Linked DNA regions of Coturnix japonica. The protein of the gene in region 2 interacts with the protein of the main gene of each other region in a pairwise test. Links are inferred from orthologs where the notes say so. Each region holds a gene or a part of one and is shown on either strand. Other genes may lie near its edges.

Region 1 (5,148 bases), on a different chromosome or scaffold from region 2:
AGGAGTCAGGCTTGCAGTTAAATTCTTATGGCTAAAGCAAGTCAGCTCATCCTCTGTGATCCTCTTTCTTAATGGTACTTAATGCTCTAGAAATGTGAATGTTAGTCCACAAACTCATTTTCAAAGCTAAATGAAAACACCAGGCCTGTGTAACACATGGGGTTTTTGTTCTGTAAGAAGTTGGGAGAACTTACTAGGTTGAGAAACTGCAGTTTGCTGTGCTGTCTCTCTTATGTTCAATCTTCTGGGATATTAGTTCTGAAGAAAATGGGATTTGGCATCTGGAGATGGAGCTACCATTTCTAATGCAGGATAAGGGGAGGACATCCTGAGTATTGTGAGCACTGCACTGTTCTGAGAGAGGGAACATCCCGGCAGCTTCCAGGCGTTCAGTTTCACACCAGTGTGACCCTACTTAGTGTACAGGACTGACTCGATAGTGACTCTCACTGCTACCTGGGAATTTGTCTCTTACCCAACTGCTCGTTTGTAAGGACCTGGAAATTCTCAGTGTCCTGTTGCACTTCTTTACTTGTATTTCTCGCTTTGACTGAACCTAAAGGTTCATCTGTGGGTTTCCAAAGGCAGCTGTAGTGGTGGGGATGTTTGGGTTACATCTTGCTTGTAACAAGGAGGGATCTCCGGAGTCTGTTCTTGAACTCCTGCAGCCTTGGATCACTCTAGACCAGAAGCTTTTAGTTGTCCATTGTACTATTGCACGACTGACTGCTGTAGTGAATGTGCATTAACTTCTCCAACCTCTCCTCTTTCTGTTGCAGACATAACTGATCTAGGTGAGTTCCTGTAACTTTTTCTGGTCTTGTGAATATTCTCTCTTTCCTCTTTGTCCTTTTTGATGTTTGTGTGGTGCACCACTTTAATTACATGCACTATCAGCAAAGCAGTGAAAAATATCCCTGCAATATTTCAGACTGGGCTGTGCTTTGGGATCCTTGCCGCTAGTTCTGTATGTGCTGCTTAAACCAGACTTTGTCTAGCAGCTCTCACTTGCCAGGTGAGTGTGGTTTGCATTGGAAAGCCACGCTTCCACTTGCTTTGTGTATTTCAGCCAGTCACCAGCTGCTGCTGAGATCCCAATGGGAAACAGAAATGAATCCATCCTAATCAACAGTGGTTAATTCTAACTGACAGTGGTTTGCTTCAACTTTGGGCCTGATTGAGGCCGGCTCCTGCTGATACCACCAGCACATCTGGGTGCTCTGAGCTGGGTCACCAAACTGAGGGACTGAATTTGGATTTAATCTTCATGATTGATTTCCTCTCTGATTCTGAGGTTGATTTTTCTGAGCTCCTTGGTGGTGCTGCTCAGCTTTTGGGTCAGACCTGCTGCACCAGATAACAAATAGCAACATCTGACTGTGAACATTTGGCCTGGAGAGCTGCTGAACAGCATGAATTGTAGATGTGAATGATTCAAATGAACTGGAGTAATTTTTCTCCCAAGTGCTGGGAAGTTCTTATAGATTTGGTTCGGAAAGGAGCATTTGGGTGGGCTTTACCACCAATCAGTGTCTCTTAAAACGTGCTCACAGGTCAACCATGTATGGAGCCCTGGAGCTCTCCAGGGGTAGGAGGTGGGGTAGCTTCTCTGCAGCTCTTTCTAATAGCGCCTTGTTGTTTTTTAGCTGGGCAGTTATCAACAGACGACTTGAATTCCCTGATTGCACACGCGCATCGTCGCATCGACCAGCTGAACAAGGAGCTGGCTGAGCAGAGGGTCAGGGAGCAGCAGCACATCGAGTTGGCCCTGGAGAAGCAAAAACTTGAAGATAAAAAGGCACTCGAGGCAGCTGTGGCAAAAGCACTGGAGCATCACAAAAGTGAGATTGAAATAGAACAGGAGAAGAAGGTAAAGTGGTGGAACTCGCCTAGAAGAGGGGCACAGGGAGCAGCAGGGTGTTGTGAGTGCTGGGGGACTTCAGGTTGGGGCCCCCTGCCTATGCTAAGCACGGAAGGGAGATTTTGAGCAAGGAAACTTCTTCAGGTGTAGAATGGCCACCCCTTGTAATCTTTAGGAAAAGGCTGAGCTGTAAGAGCAGCCCTTGGCAGCTTTGTAAGATAAAGCGTGAGTTTAAATCAGTAACACTTCTATATACCCTGATGGGTAACAACTGCTGTGCAATTGTGCTGCTTAATTGCATACAGCTTGAAGAGGTCCGAGAGGTGATGGAGAGTGAAATGAGGACGCAGCTCCGGCGGCAGGCAGCTGCCCACGCCGATCACCTGCGGGATGTCCTTAAGATCCAGGAACAGGAGCTGAAGGAGGAATTTGAGCAGGTGAGAGAAAGGAATCACCCAGGAGCCGGGTGGGAATTTGGTCAAAATGCTGGTGGTGAAGCTTCACAAAGCAGGCACTTTGCAGGAGGAAACGCGAACCATCTGCTGGAACACTCAGTGGGGGCTGGGGAGGGAATCTGCTCATCTGGAGGAGGTGAAGTCCTTCAGCATGTAGATTTAATGCTGAGTTGTCTTAAGATCCTCAGCTATAGGTGAACATTTGATAATTAGGAATGTTAGGAATGTATTAACCATTAATTTCACCACTTTAAAAGGACTTATTAGTGGTATATTTACTACGTGTGTTGTCTGGAGCAAGAATAAAAGGTTACGCAAACATATCTTAAGAGGTTGAATATGGTTAGTTGAAGAAACAGCTCTCGCTGGCCTGATGATGTACAAATCTATTTCAGAACCTATCAGAGAAACTCAGCGAGCAAGAAATGCAATTCCGACGCCTTAATCAGGAGCAGCTCGACAACTTCACGCTGGATATAAACACTGCCTACGCCAGGCTGAAAGGAATTGAGCAAGCAGTTGAGAGTGAGCACTGAGATCTCATCTTCTTAAGGAGCAGTCACAGTTCTTGTCCAGATCTGGTGCCTGAACACCAGATTAGCCATGTGGCTGATGGTTTGCCATCGGCCGAGTACTCAATAAGTCCCAGCTGCAAAGTCCAAAGCTGGTTCTGCCAAAGCCATAGCTGTGCTCTGTTGGCAGGGACTCTGAGGTGTGGAACAGACTTGCTTTGTGCAGATGGCAGGGGGGTGGCTACTTCAGAAGTGTTCAGAGGGATGGCTTTTGTTGCTTGAATTGGAACACGTTTGTGTTCAGTGCTTTCCCTGTGTGCCTCAACTGAGAGTCCTCTTGACTTTGCAGGTCACGCAGTAGCAGAAGAGGAGGCCAGAAAGGCCCATCAGCTGTGGCTTTCTGTGGAAGCACTCAAGTACTGCATGAAGACGGCCTCTGGTGACAGCCCCACTGAGCCGCTGGAGAGCGCAGTGAAGGCCATCAAGGCCAGCTGTTCTGACAATGCCTTTACAGAAGCCTTAACAGCAGCCCTCCCCCAGGAGTCTCTGACACGAGGGGTGTACAGCGAAGAGGCCCTTAGAGCACGGTTCTACACAGTCCAAAAACTGGCAAAAAGAGTGGCTATGATTGACGAAACGAGAAACAGCTTGTATCAATACTTCCTGTCCTACCTGCAGTCCCTTCTTGTGTTCCACCCTCAACAGCTGAAGCCACCGGCTGAGCTCAGCCCTGACGACCTCGATACGTTTAAATTACTGTCTTACGCTTCCTACTGCATTGAACACGGAGATCTGGAGCTGGCAGCTAAATTCGTCAACCAGTTAAGAGGAGAGTCCAGGAGAGTCGCACACGATTGGCTGACTGAAGCTCGAATGACCCTTGAAACCAAACAAATAGTGGATATCCTGACAGCATACGCCAGCGCTGTGGGGTTGGGAACAACTCAAGTGCAGTGAGCTCGGACTGTTAGTTCAGAGGCAGTTCAGCAGTTGCTCACGCTGAAGAGAAACCCAGCAACCTCCTGAGGGTGAGCTCCTAAGGGCTGCAAACCAACCAGCTGGTGGGGGCGGGCTGGAAGCGTTAAATCAAAGCGTGGGTCCTGTCCTGTTTCCTTGCACTGTATTTAAGTTACCACCTGTTGTATTTGTATTGGGTTTGCGTTACGACCACCAACTTCAGGAAGCTTCTTCACAATCTGTGTAACAATTTTGTTTCCCCGTCTTACCAAGCAGGCTTGTGATCCAGCCAAAATGTTTGTAACCTGCCCTTAATGATTTGCCACATTGTCAGCTGAATAAAACAAGACTTCAACCACTCTCCTGCTTCTCAGTTTCCTCTTTAGCAGCAAAGACAGCTGCCATGCAGGAACGGCCTGTCTCTGTGACCTGAGGAAGACAAGGCTTCATCTTCGTACTAATCCCACCCCTTAATAAGTGCATGTTGAATTCCTGGAGCAAACTCTGCTTTCAAACAGCTTTACTACAAATCTTTTACTGTACTGCACTTTAAGCTGCAGTTCAACCTGTAGCAGCTGCTGTCTCCCAGTCTTATTGCTGACCAATCCTTAAGCTGCCCTCATAGCAGTTAGGACTTGTCCTGCAGCATTACACCCAGAGAGGTCTTATTTCTTATGAAGGGAATTGGCTGTTAATTCCCCCACAGTAGGACATGCTTCAGTATGAGCAGGAAAAGGACCTTCACAATAAATTACCTCAAAAAACCTCCCAAGATTCCTCTGCAAGGAGAGAATGGGCGTAACCAACACTGTCTGCACAGAGATTACCAGAATTCAGCTGTCCTTAGCATCAGCCCTTTATTAGATGCAGCATCCAGCTGTACAGAGGCTGAAACAAGTGGCAGCTTTTCCTCTACATTCCAAAGCCTGTCCCAGCACCAAATGGATGAGAAATAACACCACAGACAACGATTACTTACAGCATTTACATGCAGACTGAACTTCATATTTAAGTGAAGTCAGCATGGAAGGAACTCAGCACTGGTTTAAGTCCCAGGATGACCCAGAGAAATGCTGCTTGAGCCAGAAAGCAGCACGTGTCTCACCAGAGCACTTCAGCTTTTCCCTATGGGAAGGCAGGGAGGACAGCTAGTCTCTGTCACTGTCGCTGTCACTGTCGCTGTCACTGCTGTCGCTGTCTGACTGGATGCTCTCCAGTGTCCTCCTGCAAATATTAAACAGTTGAGTCAAAAAATATGTTGAAAAAACCTTTGGAACCTTTTGCTTGAAACAAGATATCCAAAACAGTGAAAGGTCACATTCATTCCCTTCTAAGCATCATCAAGAGGGGTTATTTTTTGAGG
Region 2 (5,148 bases):
GTGGGACCCGTGCTTGCTCCCTGGCTGAGGCACAACAGGAGCTGCAAGTGCTCCAGAGGCAGCTGGGAGAAAGTGAGCATGCACCCCTGGCGTGGGGTTGGTCCTTCCTGCCCTGCTGTACTGTGCTGCATGGCCCATGGCCCCCCGGACTCAATGTCCTTCTCCCCAAGTCCCAGCACTCTTGCAGGGGGATGATGGGGACACATGGCTCCTCTTGTACACCCTTGAAGAAAGGGAGGGTGGGATGAACACCCCTTGGAAAGGGCTGCTTTGGGTAGTCGTTGGGTAGGAGAGAGACTGAGGCTTCCCAGCTTGTGTCATGCGATCAGCACACACTGGGAGAACCTCTGTTACTTGGGGTGAATGGGAGACAGTGGCTGCACTGATGGGCACAGCAAGAAGCAAGTGGAGACAGGGTTTGTCATCCCAGTTCTTCCTCCCTGCCCTCTCCTTTTCCTCACCGCTTTGCCCTGTGTGTGCAGGTGTGACACTGCCAACAGCAAAACCCACAGCCTCACTGGGTCCCTTTGGGGAGGCCGGAAAGCCAGCAGCATCACTGTGCCAGCATGGCACTCTGCAGAACCTATTCAAGCCCCCCGCCCTCTGGGATGTGCCAGCTGCTGTCCGGCTTTATGGGACACTGCCATCAGGGTGCCCAAGCAGCCAGAAGCTAACAGGTATGAGGAGCGTTGGGAGCTTGGGAGCATCACTGCTGGGGAGACTCAGCCTCAGAAGGTTCAGGGCAGGGGGGGCAGGTGGTGGGCATGGTGTGGGGTGGGCAGTGTGTGTGTCATGGAGACGTGTCCCTGTGTGTGCAGGGGCAGACCTGCTGGAGGAGCACCTGGTGGAGATCCGCAGCCTGCGCCAGCGCCTGGAGGAGTCCATCTGCACCAACGACCGGCTCCGGGAGCAGCTCGAACGCCGCCTGGCCTCCACCGGGAAGCCCAGTGGTACGGCACAGCATGCGGCCATTGGGACTGTGCTCCCTGAGTGCTCACCCCTTGCATATCGTGGTGCTGGGGAAAGGAGCTCAGCACCTGCCCCCCTCTGCAGGTTTGCCCAGTGACATCTATGCTCAAGGGCCGGAGCTGGGGCTGCAGCTGAGCAGGGAGAACCAGGCACTGCGTGAGGACAACCGGACCCTGCGGCTGCAGTGTGACCAGTTCTCTCGAGGTAGGGTTGGGCCACCTGTGTCCTAGAGGGGAATCGCTGAGCAGGGTGACGCTGACGTCTGTGTGTCCCCAGAGCTGGCACGGGTGCAGGAGGCCCTCCTGGCTGCTTGCTCACGGGTGCGGGAGGCAGAGGCTGAGCTGGGCCAGCGGCGTGGGGAGCAGCGGAGGCTGGCAGAGGAGCTCAGCAAGCACCAGGAGAGCATCCGGCAGCTGCGAGACGAGAGGCTCTCTCTGCAGGAGGACAAAAACAGGTGAGGTCTGGGGATGGCAGGGCTGGGCATTGTGGCTGGCTCCGGACCTACATGTCACCTCTGTGCAGGCTGCAGCACACAGTAACGCTCCTGCAGCAGCAGAGTGAGGAGCACCGCCTGCTTCTGCAGGCCCTGCGCACAGAGCTTCGTGTCTATGAGAGCCTTCCCGGCCCCACCACCGAGCCCCGTGCAGGTACCAGCACTGTGCCCAGCTCGGCAGCCCTGCTCCTGACCTTGGGGTGCAGGCAGGGAGGGAGGCCCCCAGCAGCCGCAGCCATCTGCAGGGCTCAGCTGGATCTTGTTCCAGGCTGCTTCCCATCTCCTCCTGTGCGGGATGTTGGCACCAGCTCGGTAGCTCCCTTCTCTTCACCACGCTCTGACACGCTGATGCCCCAGCATACAGTTGGTAGGTAGCTGAGCCCTCCTGCATGAGTGCTCCTCAGACTGAGATACTCACGGTACCCTTGCTGAGCTCAGGGCATTGCTGCAAGCGGAAGCAAGCGCTGCTCCTCACCAGCTCTGCTTTCCCTACAGAGCCGTGTAGGGCCAACCCTCCAGTGAAGAAGAGCAAGGGACTGGCAGGGGCTCATGTTGTCGGGCACCTGGACACCTACCATTCCCTGGAGCAGCACGTCCTGGAAGGAAAGGCACTGGCCCATGAGTTGATATGCCTGACACGCCCAGCACTCGGGCTGTCCAGCACAGGAAAGGAGGTACAGGGCGGGCAGGGTGGGTTGGGGGCCTGCAGCAAGCAGGGCTCTGCCATCTACTCCATCTGCTCCATGGCTGCGGGCATACCAGGCTGCTACCAGGTGCAGGTGCTGCTTTGGGTGATTTAGGGTTGGATCCTTGTAGCACACTCCCCATGGCAGGGGAGGGGGATGGAGATGCTCCAGCAGCACCTGCTCCCGCACCCTTTTCCCACAGGTCCCGGGATGCATAGGCACAGGGCACCTCTGGGGCAGTGCCAGCACCCTGCACCGCATCCTGGAGGAGTGTGCCTCGCTCCTCACCACCTTCTGGAGCACCGTGCTGCCCGTTGGCCCCGCTCAGCACCAGGGCAAGGTGAGCACCATGGGGAGCCATCAGGGTGAGCGGGCTGGGTGCTCGCTGCTCATGGCATACGTCTCATCCCAGGAGCAAGCGTTACAGAGTGAGATCACAGCACTGCGTGCCCAGCTCTCCAAGAGGGAGGATGCTCTGCAGAGCACAGCCAAGCAGCTCCACAGCATGGCCCAGCTCAAGGACAGCATGGAACAGTTCATAGTCAGCCAGTGTATGTGGCACGGCCACACTGGCCTGGTACCCTTGTGCCTGGGGTCACCCTGTGGCACAGGGACCTTGCTGACTCTGTCCCTCTGTCCCTCACAGTGACCAGGACTCACAACGTGCTGCACAAGGCCAGGACAAATCTGGAGGTGAGTCTGCCCTGGACAGGGCTGGATGCCCTTCTCCTGGTGAAAGTTTCTGGGCCTCAACTGGGGCTGGGTACAGATGGCAGGCAACAGAGGGTAGGGTGAGCCCAGCATGCATTGGTGTGGGTCCTGCGGGCTGCCCCCACTCCTTGCATCCCTGTTCCTGGGGCATGGGTCCCTGAGGGCTATGCCCCCATTCTGTGTGTGCTCTCTCACCAGGTGAAGGCCCAGCAAGCCCTGCCTGTTGCGTGAGCCTCAGGCTGAACGATGGGAGCAATGTCCCTGGCCACACGATGGCCCACACTGGAGGGCTGGAACGGACAGGGCTCAGGGGTGCCCAGCGCTGCCCCAGGCGCTGCTGTTAGTGGGTTTGGACTCCTGTGGCAGTTGTGTGCCCTTCACCTGCCTTTGCTTGGCATCGCAGCAGCTGGCTTGGGCTTTGCCTGCCCCATGCTTCACTGCTTGCCCCCTTCCACCCACTGTGCTCAGAGCAGGGTGTCACAGCCCTCCAAGCCGAGCACTTCTTGCCCCGGAACTCAGTCTTGTGTGTAACCTTGCTGCATAACCGCTCCTGCTCATGGATGTATGTATATATATAGAGAGAGAGGTATAGATATTGGAGCTGTGTTTCAGGGTCCTCTCTGGGCATGTCAAGGCCCCAGCATGGGAGGAAAATGTAAGGAATGACACTCTTCAGTCTCTTCAGTGGCCTAAGAATCCCCAATAAAGGTTTCCTTTGGGTCCTGGTGTTTGCAGCACACCTGTCCCTGCGGCTGTGCCCCCTCCTGTAGCCACCTCGGGGTCCTGGTGGCTGTCCCAGGGGGTGCACCGTGGCACAATAATGGTCTCACTGTTCCCAAACACCCCTCCAACACCAGGCCAGCAGCACAGAGAACAATAAATACTGTAATAAATAGAGAAAACCCTGTCACATGGCACTGCTACAGCAGCAGATGATGTAGTTGGGGTCCTGGGGTATCTGCCTTGCTTCGCTCTCCCCAGGCCCGCCAGAAGCACCCGATGGTGGTGATGGGGCAGGCGTTCAGTCCTTGATGTTGGTGTCCTGGCAGCAGGTAAGCATGGCGCATCCAGCTCTGCCCACCCTCCTCCTGGCTCAGCACTGAACGTGGTAGAGGCCAAGAGCTCCCCTTGGAGCTGGGGAGCAGAAGGAGCGGGACAGCCCTGCAGCCAGGGCTGAGGAACAGAGGGACAGTGGCAGGCTGAGGCTCCCCAAGCTTCCAAGGACCAACATGGCCTTGGAGGCTCATTACCAGGGCAGCAAAAGGTCACTTTGCTGCTGGCCTGGCTGTGGACGGTGCCAGGACAGCCTCAGGGCCATCACAGTCTAGAGCAGAGGAGCAGTGAAGCCCTTTCTGTGTCAGGAGCGAGGAAAAGCTGTTCCGTGAGCAGCAAAGCAGCCCCAGAGACTCACTGAAGCCAAAGGGGAGCTGCAGGTGGGCGGAAACCAAGGGTTAAATCAAACCACACCAGTATAATGGGACAGCAGGACGGCCCCAGCAGGCCTGGGCTCAGCACTGGGGGTTGCAGCCCCCCCCAGGTTAGAGGCTGGATCCAGCAGCCAGTCCTCACACAGTCCTGTGGCCCAGCGTGTGCAGACAAAGTGGCATTTCGTGTCCTGCGTGGGGGGTGGGCGAGGCCCCGGCTCAGATAGGTTTGTACAGCAGCGTGGTGACGTACTTCTTCTTGTAGCGGTGTGTGGCACTGAGCACCATCACGCCATCCTGTGAGAGGCAAAGCATCAGCTGCAGTGGGTGGGGAGCTCAGTGCCATAGGGCACCCCCAGGCAGCTGGGAGGAAGAGGCCCCTGCCGCTCTATAGGCCTGGGGGGGGCTGGCCCAGCCACCAAGAACCACCCACCCACCCAAGACAAAGAGCCAAGGAACGGAGCTGGCTTATGACAGGAGAGCACGGGGCTGCCCAGCTCCACCAGGCTGTGAGGAGGCAGCTACAGGGAACTGGGAGCTGTACGGACATCACCACCACCTACACCCCAGCGCATGCCACGTTTAACCAGGCAGCCAAGCAATCCCCAGGTGAGTCCTTGGACCTCTGTGCCACCATCACCACCCCAGGGCCGTCCACATTCTATGAGCTCTGGGAGTCACTCCCCTTCCCCCAGCCCGTGGCCGCTGGGGCCTCCCCTTACCTTGATGGAGAGTGCGTAGAGGTGATTGAGCATGACGTGGTTGGGTTCGGGCAGCAGGGCCGGGTCACACTAGGACAAGAGAAGCGTCAGAGGAGAATAGCAGAACCCTGACCCCCAGCATGAGAAGCAAGGAGCTGCCATCT
Region 3 (5,853 bases), about 9.6 Mb from region 2:
TGTTAGGAACCATCTTCATCCGCAACACAGCATCTGCACTATGGAATTCACCCTGAATGAATGGGAATGCCAGTGTCTTCACCTCCTGAAGACAGGACACAGCCCTCAGACTGAATTAGCCACAGCTGGATAGTTTTTTGAAATCACCACCATTATCAGACCTGGAAGATTTTTCCATCCTGCTGGCCTGGGCGAGGCATTTGGTGGGCGAGTAAACTATAATTTCTTTTGTTTGTCCTTATGAGGTAAGTGTAGAATATACCAAATTTGCTGGTCACATATTTGCACCTGGGCTTCTCACAGAGTTTCTGCAAAACCCTCTCAAATGTCTGAATGTTTACTAAGCAAATCATGAAATATTTTCCAACAACAAAAATCCAAATATGAAAATACAATAGAATAATCATATTGGGATGTGGTAATGTGCTAGTGGCTTTATTTACTTCTTCCTCCTGTTCAGGCAGTAACGTGCAAACTGACCACATCACTGTTGTGAAATTGCTGATTAACCTTTTGACTCTGACAATTGGGACTTCTCTTAACACCAATTGGTAATGCAAAAGACCATTAGTAGTTAATAGGGGGACGCCCCACCTCCAGATTTCAAAAGGTTAATGAAAATCAAGTATCTTGCCTTTACTGGGAAACTTGGAAAGCTTCCCACCAAACATTTCTGTTTTTGTGATAAATAAGCCAGACCGCTTCAGCTGAGAAAGACGGGTGTTTTGCTAATGTGTACAGCTGTTAATTGAAAAAGATTCTGTTATGCCTGTTCTTCTGGACATAGATAAAAGAGAGATTTGTTGGTGAACTTTAGTTGGTCCTGAACACCCCTTTGTCCAAATACACTGCTCAATAATAACGCTTTGTTCTGTCTGTAACAGCCATGGAAGGATTTTGAGTGGAATACTCATTTTCTTTAAGTCATATCTGCCAGTGATCATTCTTGGCTTAAGATCAGCTGCCATTTATGTGTTTTATGAAAATATAACACCAGTTTTATGCTCAAAACTATTCTTTTTTAGGTAAAAGCTTCAGCACAAACTGGTTCCCCATATGTACCATAAATGCTATTTATCACAGGTTTTGGTCTTTAAAACAGAAAGATAATGTTAAAACATTTTCATTATCCTTTCCTTACAGCTATCATTCACAAACCATCTTTTATAATTATGGCACTAGGACATTTACATAACTGGGAAAAAGGTCCTTAAACTACATTTCTATTATGTTTGGCACTTGTGTGAAAGGATATTATATTCATGTGCATTAGAGATTGCTTATAAAAGATCAAGACAATAATAGCAGATCAGACGATAAAGGTTCCCTTTTCTCCTCCCAGACAGGCTGTCTCTGACAGAAGAATACAGTTCATCAAAAGTGTCTGCAGGTTGTCAAACTCAGTGAGATTTGGGGACACTCGGAGGCTGTCATGGCCAACAAGAAGATTTTCTGTAGGGTTCTGCCATCATTCACCCTCAGGAAATAATCACTCACTACATTCTGCATGCTCTCATGATAGAGCTCTATTTGAGAGAAAAGAGCCATTTTATCAAAGGACAATATATCCCTTCTCTTGGTCCATGCAGCTTCCATTATCAGACTATAATAAATCATATTTATGTTCTCAGTTAATAAGACTGATTACAATGCAGGTTACAGGCATGGGAAAAGCAAAGCAGGTGAAAAGATGTTTTAATGAAAATATGATAAGCAAACAGCTTCTTGTGAACATTTCAGGCTGTTATTTGTAATGATCACAGGCATTTTTTGATACATCTTCCTTAGCAATGGTTTAAGCTGCATAAATTGGCTTGCCACTTTATACGTCGAAATAGGAAGAATCCCAATGTCCTTCTCATGTTGTCTGGAATCATTATATACATTATAAGCATAAAATGAGTTTAATGTATGTGCTTTGAAAAGAAGGGGAAAACAGAAAATCAGGGAGGACTGATTTTAATGCTGCTCAAAATGATTTTGAAATTTTCTGCTCATCTTTGTTACTAACGGAGCATTTTCCATGAAATTTAGGAATGACATGTGGTGCTTTCATCTCCTTAAAATTAATATACTTCTCTTTCTGTTTTTCTCAATTTCTTCAAAGTTCTTTTTAGAACACTGTGCAAAGACAGAGAGAAAATTCTCCACTCGATGTGTGAACATATCTGTTATTAGTGCTGGGGGGAGTTAAGTGTGTGCTTCTAGAGGAGAATATAGCTCTGCATTAAATACTGGAGTAAACCCTATTAAAAAGGTGCAGGGATATTTAGCTGCAGCACACCTGATGCATTCAAAGGCCAAATTCCTTGGAATCTTTTAAAGTGATTAAGATCTCTTTTGTTAAGAATTCTCCAATGATTTCAGAATGTAACTGTACCTAAATAGCTGATAAAATGTCCTGCTCTTGTCTTGCCAAAAGCTTTCTTTTATGTTTTATTGTTGCTTTTTTTTTTTTTTCGTAGTCATTTGGTTTATGTTTAGCATCATACTTTCAAGACAAAGTTAAAAATTTAGAGAATAATTTCCTCCTGCTAGCACATAACGCTGACTAAGTACATCAAAATCTACAGCACTTGCAGAATGCGAACATTATGCTTATAATGTATATAATGACTCTAGACAATATTAGAGGGACACTGGGATTCTTCCTATTTTGACAAAGTGGCGAGCAAATGCAGAAGTCTCTGTGGTGTTGTGTGTCTGCAGGAGCTGTTCTGGTCACTGACACTTCTAAAACTCTCTTAAATAAATGTTAAAGCGTTGTAATGGGCCTGGCAATGGAGAATGACCATGAAATTTCCTTAACCCTCTTAGGGTGCTTCAGCAGAAGTGATCTCACAAGAAACAGTAAACTGCTCTTCAAAGGCAGTATCCTGATATGACAACAGATGTAGATAATGCACTTCATGATGGAACTGCTTGATACAGAGAAAAACATGTTGTAACTGCCTTCACCGTGAAAGGGGTTTAAAAATGCTGCCTGCCAACTCCACAAAAAAACAGAGCTGCTATTTCAGTTAAAGGCCAGTGGATTGTATTTTTCATGTCAGTTTTCACTAACCTCAAACATCACTGTTATGACAGACTGTCAACCAACCAAACCAGAACTGTGGTGCCATTCAGGCAAGAAGGAAGAAAGCAAACACAAAGGAAACTTAGAAGTCCAAATAGTAAGAGGGGGTGCCTATGAGTGCACTTTTGTGCAGTGATACTGATTACTGAAAATGAAACACTTAAAAGAAAATAAACCCAAAAAAGTGCTTTCTGAGCCATTAGTGTTTTCTTGCCTGGCAGTTTCTCTTTGTTCTGTTTCATGACATCAGCCTCGGTGGTTGAAAGGGTGTTCTGGGCCAGATGTCAATCACACTGTCTGACATAAACAAAAATAGCTAAAAAGACATGCCAGCATCTTCCTTTTGTTTTCCCATTAGCTCCATTTTTCTTTTCAGAGGCTGACAAAAAATTACTGCCTCCGAGTGAATTCAGTAATGTCACTATATATCTAATATCTAGGAGACCTTTTGTTTTAGCTTTACTGGGCTTAACCACAAAAGACACTTGACATTGACAAAGAGTCTGTCAAATACACAATGATCAGTGCAATGAAATCTCTCATGACAGAAGGGCACTATTCTGCACCCCCAGCCTGCAGCAGCCTGTCTGAGCAAAATGTGCTGGAGCACACACAGCAGCTGAACCATTGCAGAGCAGGCCATAAGCTGAGATGTGTCTTGTTTAAAGTGTCATAGTATATTAGTGTAATTAAAACCGCCAAAAGAATAGAAAAGATAGATGGAAATGTTACATTACTTGTTTCTAGAGATTAACCTCCAGCCAGAACTGAAATACAGAGACACATTTTGCATGTCTTAGAGCTCAGATATGGAAGAAAACAAGCCTGAGAGTATGTCTCTTGAAGTGTGAGACATGAAGTCATAGTTCCTGTATTTACACAATAAAGCAGAAATAGCATTTCAGACAGGCACGCTGTTTTCTCTCTGATTACAGCTCCTGTTGTGGCTGTACTCTGCAAAGCAGCTGTATCATCTCTCAGCTACTTCTATTTTACTCTCTCTGCCTTCGTTCTTGGAAGATCTTGAGGACCCTTGTGCTGGTGTCAATGCCTTCTGCTCCCTTGGCATCTGCCAGAGTTGTGTGGGCCCCGCCTGGAGGCAGAGCACCCTATTCCTGCCGGTGGCTGCAGAAGCCACAGCTCAGCTCCAGGCTCAGCAACACCCAGCTAGGGAGATGTCTGAAGAGTGGCTTCAATATGACCTTTATATGCCAGGCTGCATGCTTGCTTCTCTGCTGATTCTATAGATAAAACTGTATGGCTTTCTGAAGTTGACCCTGAAAATTATGTTCCCAGCACTGCATGTTTTCCTTCCCATGCATCATTACCTGTGATAACTATTCAAGCCTAACTAGTTATGAACTCTGTTTCTAACCATGACACAAGTTAAATCTGTTGGTAAAAAAGCCTTGAAGTTTTTGTGGACCTGTTCTGCTGTATAGTCTGAACCTTGGTTAATCCAGAATCTGGAGAGGACATGATCTGGCTTCAGCAGTTCTGAAACACTGCAAAAGCAGCATGGCTTTCTTCTAACGTAAGCCTTACATTCAAGGAGAAGATGCATTAATCACGTAGGTCTCATGTTCATTTCTTCCACTATAAATGAACTTCAAGGCTTTGCCCCATTAGTTGGTCAGTTTGAAGTTAAGAGATGTTAAATATAGGCCTTACATTTTCGGTTTCCTCATACTTCCTCTATTTCCCAGCTTTAAATATCAGTTAATGACTTCTCCATATAACAGTACTCTTTAATTTCTGGTCAGAGGCTGTAAATGTGCACTGTTAGTCAAAAATATGTTATCTGCATTTAGTGTTGGCTTCTGGAGCCTTCACCACCAAGTTACCTCACAGTCGCATCTCTCTTCACGTGATTTTCCAGGTACTGCCAGGAGAAGAATGGAAAATGACTATGAAATAAAAGCACATTCTGCTCCCATTACAGGCAATGAAAACTGTGCTTTTACTTCTACTTACTCATAATGGTGGGGGGAAAAAATGAAGTGGAAACAAGCACAACAAAACACCTCTGCCAGCTATCTATAAGCTAACCAAGGCTTCCACTAATGAGGTGGTCTGGCATTTTGAGAAAGACGGGTTTTTCCAGAAATGGAAAAAATATGCTGTTTTTTTCCTTCAACTCTGAGAGCTTAGTGAGAGAGTAAGAAATTGCATTTCAGAGGGATAGCAAACTTTTAATGCTCTCAGTATTATTTAATACTTACAGACACCAGTGTAGTTTCTTGTCAGTTGAATGTTTTTGCATGTTTATTTGTGAGATTACTAAATACTTTCCTACAAACTAGTTATTTGCTGTATTTACAGATTCATCTCAGTGACTGTGAAATTCCTGAGGATGTTATTACTTTCAAGTCAGATTAACAGAGTAATTTCCAGGTAAGATATTCTGGAAGATAATACCATGGACAATTGCATAGTCTATTAAACAGAACTGAACTGTTTGTGGAAAAGATAATAATCTAGATCACAAGATAGCACCAGATTTTATGTTATGATCTCCAAATGTCTTTGGGAGCTTAATGCACTCAGCATTAGTTCAAGTCTAATTTGCATGGCAGAAAAGTGAGTTCCAGTTTCCACCTCTCTGGGGCTGTGTTGGGAAACTCTTGTCTCCCTGGGAACTGCAGAGGACAGGCTGCTATGGTTTGGTTATGCTTTGGCAAGAGTATTCACCATGTTACTAGCTGCTCCTGGAGTGCCCAGTGGTATCAAGTGCAGAAAAGAAAAGCTTTCACCTTAGACAGTGAGGTGTTCAGGCC
Region 4 (4,325 bases), on a different chromosome or scaffold from region 2:
CAGCAACACTTAGCTTTGCAAATACTGATTTTTTTTAATGGTGTTTTTCTAGGTGTGCATCCGTATGAAAAACAAGATCATATTAATGTCAGGTTTGTGGAGGAAGCAGCACTGAAACACACGATGATGCTCTTGGGCCTCAGATATTCCTGAAACGACTTTCTTCAACTGCATGTAAATGATGGTACTCAAAATCATTCACACAGAAGTGTGCAGCCAACTCTGACGTTATTTAGTCTTAAATGTCATGTTGTTTGCTAATTACTCAGCAGTTTTGAGTAGCCACCATTACTGACATCAGCTACTCAAAGTAGCAATTGTCCAGTGCACTAAGACTGAAATTACTGACCTGTAGGTAAACTGTAGAGAAGTACATCTGACGCAGACCTGGGTTCCCAGCACATCTGGGGTTTCAGTTCTGAAGTGGTCAAATCAATGGAACTATTGGGTATTAAAACATGCTGTGAAATATGGTATTACTCTTAACAGTTTTAACGAGACAGACAATGCTGGAAAGGGTAGTCCAGCTGTACAGTAACAAGAAACTGGCCACTGTTTACTCATTTAGACTAATAAAAGCTTTTCTTGATACGATAATGTAAAATAGGTAAGAATAACAAATGACAAGTCGGTCTTTGTATATAATGCACCAATAATGATACTCATTCCTTGCGGTGGCCATATATTGCCTTATGGTACTTCTGCCTTTGGAGTGGGATTCTAATATATTCAGCGATGTAATTAGCACAAAATGTAGTCTCCTTAAATTATATGGGAGAGGGATTTTATGTTATGTTTGTTTTTTTTAAGACATGTATGATATATTGAATGCAATACAGGGCAAGAAGGAAATTCTTCGGAAATGTACCTTCACAGCAGCATGGAATGAGTTTTACTCAATTCTCTCCTTCCCGCTTTTAGTATTACAGTTCAAAACTGCTTCAGGAAGAACGGCTGGAGGTTGTTTTCTCCTCATTTTGACTATTATTTATGAGTAACCAAAGTGGGTTTGGTTTTTTGTGTGCACTTTTTCATATTTTGAAGGTTGGCATAAATTTTTCTCAGTTAAATATTTTTTTTTCAGTCTTGGGCTGTGGAAAGCTGTGATGTTGTATTTGTGTAATGTGTGGAGACTTCATTCATGTGCTATTAATAACCAGAGAAGATCTTCTACCTTATTGTTTTTATTGAAATGTGCGGTAAAATAGATGTAATAAAACTTTACCTGAAAAAACAAAAGAGTAGTCTGATGATTACTCATTTTAAAATACTGCAGTGCATTTGGCATATCAGGCTCCACCAAATCAGAAGGAAGGAACTTGTATCACTGAGTATTTAGCTGCGCTTCTGGAATTATGTACTGCTTTGTTTGCTGTGTAGAATTTGGCTATACTCTAATGTGCATTTCATGTAGGATAAGTGCTGTCAACTTGTGATACTCAGCAGCTGGTAAGGGCTTCTCTTCCTTCATGTGCTGTCTTCTTAGATTTCAATTGGCTTTATAATTGGTTTTCTGAAATGTCTTATATTTGAACCAGGTTCGTTTGGCTTGAAAGGAGCCAAAGCGCCATAGGGCCGTGGCAGTGGCAGGCTGTATGCATCATCTGGGACATAAGCATTTGGCCGCGGTTCAGCTGTTGTGTGGACATGGCCAAGCACTGCAGCTTCTTCCTCTTCTGCAGCCTGCTGTAAAAGAAACACACTATGAGCACATCGTGCCTACTTGTTTTAAGACTGCAGTCAGTACTCTTCTGAGCCAAGGTGGAGGATGCCCAATGTATAAATACTAAATACTATTCACCCAGTTCTTAGCAAATCAAAAAACAAGAAAACACAGGCAGGTGTTTAACTGTTCACTGAGGGAAAGCATAATGTACTGACCACATAGGTATGAGTTTGTCCTTTTAAATACTGTGTAGTTTGAGCCTGTAATACTTTTGTTGTTGAGAAAGAAAATGAGATGAACTTGCAGTAATTACAATAAGTGTGCACAGACCATCTCGGGAACAAGATAATAGATATGATGCTTCAAAGCCCAGTTTGTATTTATGCTGACAGCAGCTATTCTTGAATACTATCACTGTACTAATAATATGATATGAAAAGAGTCAATGACAAGAGGTTTCTTACTGTAAACCAGTTTAACTGCAACAGTTCTTTGTGCCTTCAGGCTCTTGAAACGTATACACTGTGCATTCCTCTCCTAGTTTTGTGTTCATTTCGGATTACTTTGGAGAAGGAATCATATAGCAAGGCCAGTTTCCTACCTGCAGGTTTTCCCTCAATTATACTCATCTCAGTTGTATTTGTCTATCTATCAGTTAACTCAAAGCACTGTCACATAAAGCAAGATCTACCTTTGATTATTAAAGTAATTTGAGTGTAACATATCCTCTACTTAAGGTCTGAGACCTGTTCTATCTGAGCAGTGTGCCAAACTACAGTTTGTAGCTCCAAAAATCCACCATGTGCTGGTTTTGTAGTTGCCTCTGTCTGTCCCATCATCTCCACCAGCTCCTGGAGCCCCGTGGTTGTCAGTGAGCAGCTGTGCATTGTGTGAGATCTGCTGCTCTTTCAGAAGGACAAGTTAGAGCGGTAAAAAAAGGAGGAGCCAAAGCGCAACTCAGAGCAAAAACTTACTCTAGCTCTGGCCTCTGCTGCTTCTTTGTGCATCTTCTCGTTGCGTAAAACCTTCAACCATTCAATCTCTGTCTCTTTAGGAGGAGGAAGGCCTTGTTCTATCCTTGACGAAACAATCATCAAAAACTCTTCTCTGTCTCTCATTTCCTGATGGAGTTTAATGGCAAGGGCCTGCTTCATGGATAACTCTGCGACAAGAGCCATCATCTTCTTGGTCCTGTCTTTTATCTTCTGCTGTAGTTCATTTATCTGGAATCAGAAACCAAGTGCATTTTGCATATTTAGTAACAATTACATCTATAGACACTTAGTGGTGCTCAGGTATGGGAAAGTAAGGTTGGTGAAATCAGCTGTGTTTCAAAAAACAACTCTGTTCTTGAAAATAATGGTTGGAAAATATCATCTTTGTAATGCTATCCTGCCCCTTACAGATGACGAACAAGACTTCCATTTACCACAAAGGAAGGTATTAAGCCTGGATTCTGATTAAGCCTGCGCACAATTACTGCGTTACTAACAAGTGCGTTAAGTCCAGGCCTCACAAAGTAGTTCAGTGATAAAACACGGACACGGCTGTTCTGTGAGGTGCTGAGTTGTTCTTAGCAGGGAGGTGGACAGAAAGGGAACAGGGTGGGAATCTGTGATTATGAGTGGACAGAAGTTAAAAATTAACATTAACAAAAAAAGAAAGTGTAAAAGAGCTCCAATGCTGTTTTTAAGGTAATCGATAGAGAATTGGTAGAGCCTGAGTGTGTAACTTCTGGCACACTGCCCTTTGTGCAGTAAATGGCCAATGGCTGTAATTTCACAAGGGCAAATGGCAGCCGTGTTATTTCTTTCTGTAGAAAAGGAAAGATTTCCTCCTGAAGAGATGTGTTCTGATTTTAAGCCTGAGCGCCAGAGTTAACAACAAAGAAAAGTCAGCCCTGGCCTTGTTGTACATTATTACATCACTGTGTTGTTTGTTTTCTCTCTATCTCTCACTGGGTTTGGAGCTATTTGGAGCTTTTTCATCAGTGTGGTGGAGGTGGGAAGATTTCTTTTTTTGGCTGCTGCTGTGTTTGTTGTGCTATGGCCAATGCTGATGACTTCCTGTCTCTGTCCTTCTCTCTTTTGCTTTCTCAATTTCCTCTCTGTTGTTATACGCTTTCCAAGCAGCCTCAAGTTATTTACTTAAGGATCAGGCCTCCTCTCCTTCCATGTTTTGCAGTTATTACATCTGTCCTTTCTTAAGACTAACATACAATTTGCCTGTCACTGATTCCAGCTGCTAGTTTCGTAATTTGCAAGCAAGTCATCTCAGCTGCAGCCCAGATAGAATCTTGTTTCCTATGGGCCAGTGAGCAGAGCGTGCCCTCCTTACCCGTGTTGCCAGCAGCATTGTGCCCTGCTGCCCGTTCTCTGCTGTGGCGCGGATCCTGTCTGTGAGCCGGACGATGTGTTCGTAGATCATCTCTGTCTCCAGCAGCTTCTCCTCCTTCTGCACCAGCTCCTCCTCCAGCTGCAGTGGGAAGAATATGCACAGCACAGGTAAACGCTGGGGGAAGGTGCAATAATGAGGAGAGATTGAGTGGGAATGTTAAATCCTACGTCACAAGTTCATGAAAGCCAGTTCTGTAATGTTGGTGAGGTTTGTACAGGTGGGCTGTGACCCTGTGCCCACACAGCCCTGCTGAGATCCCTGC

What was found.
Region 1: the proteins of myomegalin-like (region 2) and IMMT interact in a two-hybrid assay, tested with the Homo sapiens proteins (2 studies listed by BioGRID and IntAct, with this or other methods). The link is inferred for Coturnix japonica from reciprocal best matches to the Homo sapiens genes PDE4DIP and IMMT.
Region 3: the proteins of myomegalin-like (region 2) and LMO4 interact in binary tests that used the Homo sapiens proteins (3 or more experiments, as listed by UniProt). The two-hybrid records come from large-scale screens. The link is inferred for Coturnix japonica from reciprocal best matches to the Homo sapiens genes PDE4DIP and LMO4.
Region 4: the proteins of myomegalin-like (region 2) and CCDC146 interact in binary tests that used the Homo sapiens proteins (3 or more experiments, as listed by UniProt). The two-hybrid records come from large-scale screens. The link is inferred for Coturnix japonica from reciprocal best matches to the Homo sapiens genes PDE4DIP and CCDC146.

What each region holds. Positions count from the first base shown.
Region 1 is NC_029519.1:77,500,302-77,505,449, reverse strand, and holds the end of IMMT (MICOS complex subunit MIC60), read left to right. Parts: intron 1-779; coding exon 780-794; intron 795-1,646; coding exon 1,647-1,870; intron 1,871-2,166; coding exon 2,167-2,298; intron 2,299-2,711; coding exon 2,712-2,841; intron 2,842-3,177; coding exon 3,178-3,785; 3' UTR 3,786-4,145; downstream 4,146-5,148. Other genes in the region: PTCD3 (pentatricopeptide repeat domain-containing protein 3, mitochondrial), read right to left, coding at 4,934-5,009. UniProt on the Homo sapiens protein: Component of the MICOS complex, a large protein complex of the mitochondrial inner membrane that plays crucial roles in the maintenance of crista junctions, inner membrane architecture, and formation of contact sites to the outer membrane.
Region 2 is NC_029523.1:4,160,905-4,166,052, forward strand, and holds the end of myomegalin-like, read left to right. Parts: coding exon 1-72; intron 73-482; coding exon 483-677; intron 678-818; coding exon 819-950; intron 951-1,053; coding exon 1,054-1,173; intron 1,174-1,245; coding exon 1,246-1,423; intron 1,424-1,491; coding exon 1,492-1,616; intron 1,617-1,730; coding exon 1,731-1,829; intron 1,830-1,957; coding exon 1,958-2,136; intron 2,137-2,350; coding exon 2,351-2,488; intron 2,489-2,560; coding exon 2,561-2,699; intron 2,700-2,794; coding exon 2,795-2,841; intron 2,842-3,057; coding exon 3,058-3,090; 3' UTR 3,091-3,593; downstream 3,594-5,148. Other genes in the region: PRKAB2 (5'-AMP-activated protein kinase subunit beta-2), read right to left, coding at 4,503-4,580, 5,006-5,074. UniProt on the Homo sapiens protein: Functions as an anchor sequestering components of the cAMP-dependent pathway to Golgi and/or centrosomes.
Region 3 is NC_029523.1:13,757,620-13,763,472, reverse strand, and holds the start of LMO4 (LIM domain transcription factor LMO4), read left to right. Parts: upstream 1-2,482; 5' UTR 2,483-5,470; intron 5,471-5,853. UniProt on the Homo sapiens protein: Transcription cofactor. Plays a role in establishing motor neuron identity, in concert with MNX1, acting, at least in part, to disrupt LDB1-LHX3 complexes thereby negatively modulating interneuron genes in motor neurons.
Region 4 is NC_029516.1:11,440,797-11,445,121, forward strand, and holds the end of CCDC146 (coiled-coil domain-containing protein 146), read right to left. Parts: intron 4,171-4,325; exon of another isoform or gene 4,142-4,170; coding exon 4,004-4,141; intron 2,890-4,003; coding exon 2,641-2,889; intron 1,687-2,640; coding exon 1,483-1,686; 3' UTR 1,169-1,482; downstream 1-1,168. Other genes in the region: GSAP (gamma-secretase-activating protein), read left to right, coding at 53-153. UniProt on the Homo sapiens protein: Essential for sperm flagellum biogenesis and male fertility.